2 linked regions of the Cricetulus griseus genome follow. The protein of the gene in region 1 interacts with the protein of each later gene in a biochemical or structural test. Links are inferred from orthologs where the notes say so. Each region holds a gene or a part of one and is shown in the gene's direction. Other genes may lie near its edges.

What was found. The genes of interacting proteins can lie anywhere in the genome.
Region 2: the proteins of Ccna1 (region 1) and Mybl2 form a complex in vitro, tested with the Homo sapiens proteins (2 studies listed by BioGRID, with this or other methods). The link is inferred for Cricetulus griseus from reciprocal best matches to the Homo sapiens genes CCNA1 and MYBL2.

What each region holds. Positions count from the first base shown.
Region 1 is NW_023276806.1:96,102,541-96,106,828, forward strand, and holds the start of Ccna1 (cyclin-A1), read left to right. Parts: upstream 1-1,488; coding exon 1,489-1,653; intron 1,654-4,288. UniProt on the Homo sapiens protein: May be involved in the control of the cell cycle at the G1/S (start) and G2/M (mitosis) transitions. May primarily function in the control of the germline meiotic cell cycle and additionally in the control of mitotic cell cycle in some somatic cells.
Region 2 is NC_048599.1:16,446,242-16,449,741, reverse strand, and holds part of Mybl2 (myb-related protein B), read left to right. Parts: coding exon 1-61; intron 62-1,639; coding exon 1,640-2,056; intron 2,057-2,846; coding exon 2,847-2,986; intron 2,987-3,500. UniProt on the Homo sapiens protein: Transcription factor involved in the regulation of cell survival, proliferation, and differentiation. Transactivates the expression of the CLU gene.

The sequences.
Region 1 (4,288 bases):
GGGACTTTCCCTTCACACGTGGCCAGGTCACCGGCCCAATGACCCCAGCTCGGAATCTGTCCTTGTGCCCCTTCAACACCCAAGGCCCAGCACCTCTCCGCGTTCCTTCCTCTTCCCGGTGCCACCGGGTGCCCATGGGGAAGATCTCTCCCGGGTACCTGCGGCACCGCGAGTTACCCTAGAGCCCCCAATCTCTCCCAGCTCTCCTTGCCACACTCGAGGCACCTGGCCATCCTGGTGGGTAGAGATGAGGTTCAGTCCGCCGCCGCCCACGGTCGGGAGCCCTCAAGGCAGGCGCCCTGGAGAAGGAGGTGAGGAAGGGGAGCGAGCCGCGCCCTCGGGCCGACTTGGAGGGCTCCGCGGCCGCAGCCCGAGGGCCCCGCGTCGCTCTCCCGAGCCAGGGTTCTCGGGAGCAGGCCGCGCAGGAGACGTTGGAGGGAGGGGTTCGTGGCTGTTGGGGGAACCGGCTCCTGGGGAACAGTCCCTTCCAGGGTGGGTACTGTGGGCAGGCCGTCGTCCGCCCTCGCAGGGGACGCCGGCCAGACGGGCGCGAGTGGCGACGTGCAGTGCGGTGCGCCCAGTACGCCCAGCTTTGCGGCTCAGGAGCCCCGGGTTGCGCGGTTAGCCGCGCCCGGTAGCGCTCCGGGGCCAAGCATCAGCCGGCGGCGCTGCAGGTGAGCGGTCGCCAGGGCGATGAGGACCCGGGCGCACGCCCGCCGCGGTTGGCATGGAAGCGGCTCGGAGGGGCCCGGACTGGTCGCTGATTGGCTGGTTCAACAGACGCGGCTGGGTCGAAAGTGCTCAGTGGCGAGCGCAGCAGCCCTAGCCGCTGGAGCCGGCGCCCCTGGAATCTCTCCACTCCGGGTCCCCTCCCTTCACGCCAGGCCCCGCCCGCCCGGCCCCGGCCTGGGTGCGCTGGCTAATCGCCTCAGAAGGAGAAGAACCTGAGAATCAGGGCCGCCTGGGGTTCCCAAGCAGGTTTGGGGGCCTTCCTCTGGTGAGAAGCACTTGCTTGTCACTTGGGAAGGGGAATCATTTGTCCACAGTTCGAGTTTCAGGGTTTAGTCTGAGATGAGGGAAGGTGGGGAGGAAAATCAGGGATCCTAGGCAACACCTCTCTATCCCCCCCCCCCCCGCCCAAACAACACAAATCAGTGTGGGCTGAGAATCCCGATGTGGAGTTTGGACAGACAGCCCCCCCTCCCTCCCTCCCTTCCCTCCCTCCCACTCTCTCTCTCATTGCAACCTTCAGCCTGGGGTCAGATTAAAGCCTATTCAACCAGTGTTTGGTTGTGAGTTGCTCTGATGCCTGCTGCTGTGGCTCGCTTCGGAAACGCTGACCTTAATGTTTGTTGAGAAGTTGAGAAATGGGTGGTAACTCCGCCGGGGCTTGGCATTCTCTGCATTCCTGGGTCCCCAGGTTGAGAGGGTTGACTAACTGTCTCCTTCTCTTTCCCTGGATAGCAGCAGGTTGTGGCTTGCTAGGCAATGCGTCGCCACAGCTCCAAGAGTGGAGTCGCTCTCCCTCCAGTGGGCCAAGGTCCCGAGGCTTGTCAAATGCTCACTAGAGCTCAGCTCGGCCAGGATCCCCCACAGAGAACCGTGCTAGGGGTGTTGACTGAAAATGAGCAGTACAGGAGGACCTGTGGCCAGGTAATGACCCAGGAGCATCAGGGAAGATGCTGTGGAGAAGGCCTGCCTGCCTGCGGCAATGTGCATGTCTGAGTGTGTGTGTGTGTGTGTGTGTGTGTGTGTGTGTGTGTGTGTGTGTGTGTGTGTGTGTGTGTGTGTGTTTCCCCCTATATCAAAGAAGTAAATCTTAGAGACTGTTTGGGTTAGGAATGTGTTAAGTGACTTAAGAGTTAGTCAGAAGGGAGATGCGATTACTTTGATCTGTAGTGCAGGGGTGGGGGTGGGGTTGGGAGGAACCTCTGGGCCAGAAAGTTGTATGGATGAGCCAGGCCACCAGAAATCAATCAATGGAGACAGCGTGTGTACCAGGATACACTAGTTTATCTTTTAAGAGAAAGGTGGCATCCAGAGCAAACATATCTACCACTACAGACAATGGCACTGAGATGCTACCAGTCTGCTCTTAACTGACTGTATAACTGGCACCGAAGACAGCATCAAATTCAGACGTTTAAATGTAGAGGAGAGATTTGAATCTGCAGCAGTGACTTTTTGAGATAGAAAATAAAGTGTCCTCTAAGCCTGTTATTAGATAAACCCTTGTAACGAGGCCTCAATTCTGTATTACAAGTCTGTGGAACCCAATGGTTACAAGAGTCCAGTCCAGCAGGTGGGTGGGTTTTAAGGGCAGGTTAGAGATGGTTTATCCCTCCCACCTGTTACAGTAGAGGCTCATTCAGAGACCCTTCATCTACTGCCTCTTCAAGTCCTCTGCTCTTGGGTCTGACTGTATCCATTGGTGGCAGTGATCCCCCAGATGATCCCTTTAATGCTCTGAGTCAAGCCAAGTGAAAATAGTTTTAACAAAAATGGCTTAGCAATGTTTCACTTCTTTAAACTTGCCATCTGAGACCTGAATTTATGAATTAAAAGTGGTGTTTACATTGAATGTCCTTGTTTGAAATTCACACTCAGCTCTTGTGCTACCGGAGTTACTGCTTGGTGTCTCCTCGACACTCCATTCCCCTACACCTTCCATAGAAACCCACCTCAAGCCTGATTCCCTATTATTTGTTCTTTGGTTTCTATTTGGTTTTAAAATAATTTAATTCCTTCATTACTATGTATGTACATGTGTGCATATATGATGTGTGTTTGTGAGCATGCATGCCACAGCATTCATGTAGAGGTTGATGACAAGATTGGAAGCTCCTTCTGAGGTTTGAACTCAGGTCACTGGGCTTGATAACAAGAGTCTTTACCCTCTGAACCGTCTTGTTGCCTCAACCCTTAATTGTTCACAGCCCTGCTCCTTCAGAATAAAGAATAAGATGACTGTATCCTGCTTTCCCAAAAGAATGCTTCAGCCAGAACTTCACTCTTCCTCCCAACTCCAGGGAGTAGGGAGAGTCTAGGCCAAGCTGGCTTTGATGTGGTACATAGCTCTAAATGGCCTCAAATTCAGGACCCTCCTACCTCATCCATTCTAGTGCTACAATTACATGTTTGTTCACTTTGGGCCAGCAGCTAGAATCTTTACTGCTCCCCTGTGTTATTCCCTTCCTGCTCTGTGACTGGAACCCATGACCTCTTGGATTTCAAGGTACCTCTCTAACAATTCTTCTCTTTCTCCAATTTCTTATCTCTCTGAAGCAAATCCATACATGCATGGATATATGGAAATAGCTTCCCATCTTCAAACTTGTCCAGCCACACAGCTATCTCTGTGCAGCTACTGTCCCAGTTACAGCAAGATTTATTAGAAACTGTCTATCTTAATGGTATGGGCATTCCACCAGGGTGACAATGTGGGGATGACACTTTTCTGTGGTATTCCTACTGTCCAGAAGAGTGATGGGCCTGGCTAGACAAGCTTGGTGTGTTTGTTGGCTTGGCACTTTCTGTTTCTGAGTCTTCTCTCACTCAGTTTTGTCTTCCTTGATATATTGACACCTTTCACATAAGTGGCCATTCTTCCTTCTTTGAAACCATTTATTCTTGCTCAGTTTAGTAAAAAGTACTCTTTCTTGATGTGTTATGCAACACATTGCCTCTCCTCTGTCTCTTACACACACACACACACACACACACACACACACAACACACACACAGATACACACATACACACACACACACAGATACACACACACACACACACACACACACACACACACACACACACACGTAGAGCAGAACTCAAACCCAGCAGTAACATGAGTCATGGCTAGTTGTAACTTGCCTCATGGAATTTTTTCCTCTAACATTTTATTACAAATTGTTTTTCTTATTAAACATAAGTTTAACTTCCTTGATGAAAAGTAAATTCATGAAGTGACATATGAATTGGGAAGTGGTATCCAATAATAACTACCAAGATTAAGTATAAGCAAAATGTTCACAGTTGATGGTACTGGCATATCAAAGTCTAACTCCTAGGCCTGCTCTGGCTGCCACACATAACTCTCCTTAGACCACTGGTTGCCAGTGTTCACTATGACAGGGCCACTGTTGTTTCTGTTGTTCTCTCTGTAAGAATAAAGAAAAGAAATGATTTGAGAAAATTCCCCAAGAGTAATGATGATATACAAAAATATTTTCATACCATTTTAGAATGTTTTGTAGCACAGGGCTCCAAGGTCATGATGTTTTCCTGAAT
Region 2 (3,500 bases), on another chromosome or scaffold:
AAACCTCCTGATACCTGCTGTGGGGTCCAGCCTCTCTGAAGCCCTGGACTTGATTGAGTCGGTATGTTGGTCCCAGCACTTCTCTTTTGAATTTGCCTTTTTCCGTCATCCTCCTAGCATATATTGACTGATGGAAGTTGCATAGCTCCGACCAGACTGGGGACACCAGTGAGGTCGCTGCAATCCTTGCCCTACAGTGTGGAATGGGGTGAAAAGGATTCTCAGAGAGGGCACTGAATTGGCATCATATAGTTATATCTCACTGGAAAGGGCCCTGGAAGTGCCAGGGGTTATGGTTGCAACCTCTGGAGCAGCAAATGGGTTTGGCTTCTCAGGCCAAGGCCATGCTATGCTTACTGTCCTAGGTTGTGTTCCTTATGTGGCTTTTCCTGAGGAGACAAACAAGTATCTGTTTACTCAGATACAGTACTAAGGACAGATTGAACAATTCCACACAGCTCTAGCATGGTGAGCTAATGAGTTCTTGGAGACACATAGAGGATTGTGGGCATCCTGCAGTCCCATAAGACGGCTTCGTCACCAGAAAGCTGACCCAGCATGACCATAGACTCAAGCTGCATCCCTGGAGCTCCCAGCCCAGCTTGCATGCAATCCTCAGGGAGGAGTCTCTTCTTCACCAGCAGTTACTTACAGCTTTATAACCTCAGGGAGGGGCCTTCTGGCTCTTGTAACTTTCCTCTAGGAGGGAATGTGTCATTTCTGAGAAAATAAACAATGACTTTGCCTGAGAGCCTGTGGGCGGGGCCACCCCTCTGATTTGCTATCGAGCTTTAGGCTGTATCATCTAGGAGTTAAGTCCTGACTGACTCAGACCTCAGACTCTTTTACAGTTTCCTTCTGGGAGGGCTGAAGATTAGGGAAAGGCTCTACAAAAGCTGCTCTCCATCCTCTCCAGCATCCTCCCAGGCATTCCTGCAGCATACGCTTTCTAGCTCCAAGATGTCATCAGTTTCCTGGACCTCTGATCTTTGAGATCGGGTATAGGGCTGAGGTCAGCCTAGCTGCAAGCTAGTTTCTACTCTCAGGAATGAACTGTCACTGGCTCCAGCAAATCCCAAGAACCACAGCTTGTGAGTGGGCTCTGGATCTACACAGGGCCACACCTCAAGGACCATAGTGGAACCTTCTGTTTCCAGAAGCCTTTGGGTAAAGGCAAAGGACTGTGGTGATCTCATGATCTTCGGAGCTTAGTGTGGGTTCCTTGATATCAAAGTAGGAAAGGGAGCCAGTGAGATGGCTCAGCAGATAGAGGCACTTGCCACCAAGCCCACCAAGCTGAGTTTAATCCACAGGACCCACGTGGCAGTAGGAGAGGACTAACTCCTTCAAGTTGTCCTTGACATTCACGTATAAATAAATGCAATGAATTAATAAAAAAAAAAAGGCAAAAGTCGTGCTTCCTAGCAGGTTGCTATGGGGATTGTGAAGCTGTTGATGGGCAAGAATCCCATTCAAGCTTCAGCATAATACATATACATATACATAGAATGTTGAGGAAATGAATGTAAGTGGTAATGACTGATCCCAGGGATAAGGGACTGAATATGACACTGGTGTATTTTCTCGTAATGAATGAAGTCCTACTGTATTAGGACCTTCTAACCTCCCTTTCTGGCAGGACCCTGATGCTTGGTGTGACCTGAGTAAATTTGATCTTCCTGAAGAGCCATCTGCTGAGGGCAGTGTCAACAGCAGCCCAGTGCAGCCCCAGACATCACAGCAGCAGCAACAGGCACAGTCATCCCACCAGAGCGCCACACCAGGTCCCAGCATGACTGAGTATCGGCTTGATGGCCACACTATTTCAGACCTGAGCCGGAGCAGCCGGGGGGAGCTTATCCCCATTTCCCCCAGCACTGAGGTTGGGGGCTCAGGCATTGGCACACCACCCTCAGTGCTCAAACGGCAGAAGAAACGGCGTGTGGCCCTGTCGCCTGTCACAGAAAACAGTGCCAGCCTGTCCTTCCTGGATTCCTGTAACAGTCTCACCCCGAAGAGCACACCTGTCAAAACCCTGCCCTTCTCTCCTTCCCAGGTGTGTGGGCCCTTCTGGCTGCCTTGGCTCCCACATATAAACACTTAGTGCCCAGTGAGGTCTGGCACAGGTACACACTAGATAATCAGTATTTGCTGAGTATCTCCCTGTGCTCAGTGCTGGGGGCCCAGTGCTAGTTGAGAAAACCAGACCTGGCCCTGCCCTAATGAAGCTTACACTCTGGGTGGTAAAAGATCCAGATAAGTGATAAAATGAAGAAGAGGCAAAGACTTTAGTCACTTGTCCTGTTTTTTTTTTTTTTTTTTTTCATCAAAATACTTGATGTGAAAGTAATTGAAGAAAGGACAGCTTTATTTTGGTTATACCCTATGACAAGGAGCTGAAAGTAGCTGGTTACACTGCAGCCAATCAGGAGATGGAATGATGTCCTGTTAGGCTCCCCTTTTCCTTGTCATTCAAAGAGTCCAGGCAGTGACTGACACTGCCTACAGTAGGGTGGGTCATCCCTATCTCATTTAACCTAATCTAGAAAAGTCCCTTTCAGACAAGCCCAGAGGTTTGTTCCCATGGTGATTGTAAACACCATCAAGTTGGTGTTTCAAAGGTGGAAGGATTTCTTCCATTGAGAAAGCTGCAGGGCCTTGTTGGATGATAGAGAAAAGACAGAAGGACTGAGTCATACTTGTTGAAAGAAGTTTTTGCTGGTGTCCTACAGGTCAGGACAAGACCTCAACCTTATAGAACAGGCACAGGGAGGGGTGTCTAAGGATCTATTCGTCTGTCCCTCAAAGGCCTCATCTTGTCACATGTTCTATCTCTTCCCTGGCAGTTTCTGAACTTCTGGAACAAACAGGATACCCTGGAGCTGGAGAGCCCCTCGCTGACGTCCACTCCAGTGTGCAGCCAGAAGGTGGTGGTCACCACACCCTTGCACAGGGATAAGACACCCCTTCACCAGAAGTATCCATCGTGAGTGCCACGGGGCCACCTGCCCACCCTGGGCAAAGGGGAAGTCTCTGATCCTGGGGAGTGGCCGCCGTATCTCTTTGTCCTTGTCTGAAAAGCCTGGTTCTTTCCCTTCTTTTTCCCTCACTTTTATTTTTTAACTTCATAGTCCTAGCTCTCAGAAACAGTGTTCAAATTGCTGCCCCAAAACACTAATATTTCCCCTTCTTTGATAAGCATCAAGTATAGATCATATGTGTTTGAACCTGGAAGTGCCCCTGGGCTGTCTGCCTCAGGAGCCTAGAGCACTGCGGTTGTGTCTGTCCTCAGCCTGCTGTGAGTCTGTCTGTCCTCAGCACGTTATGTACAGTGAGCCCACTTCCTCTTTTGGCATAATGGAATTCCAGGTGGGTGTCTGTCCAAGGAGCTAGGAATTTTGCACAAGGTAATGAGATGACTTTTCAGAAGCAATTTACTAATCCACTGTTTAGAAATCACTCAGTCAAATAATGATAATCTTGCAAGACATAGTTCTTAG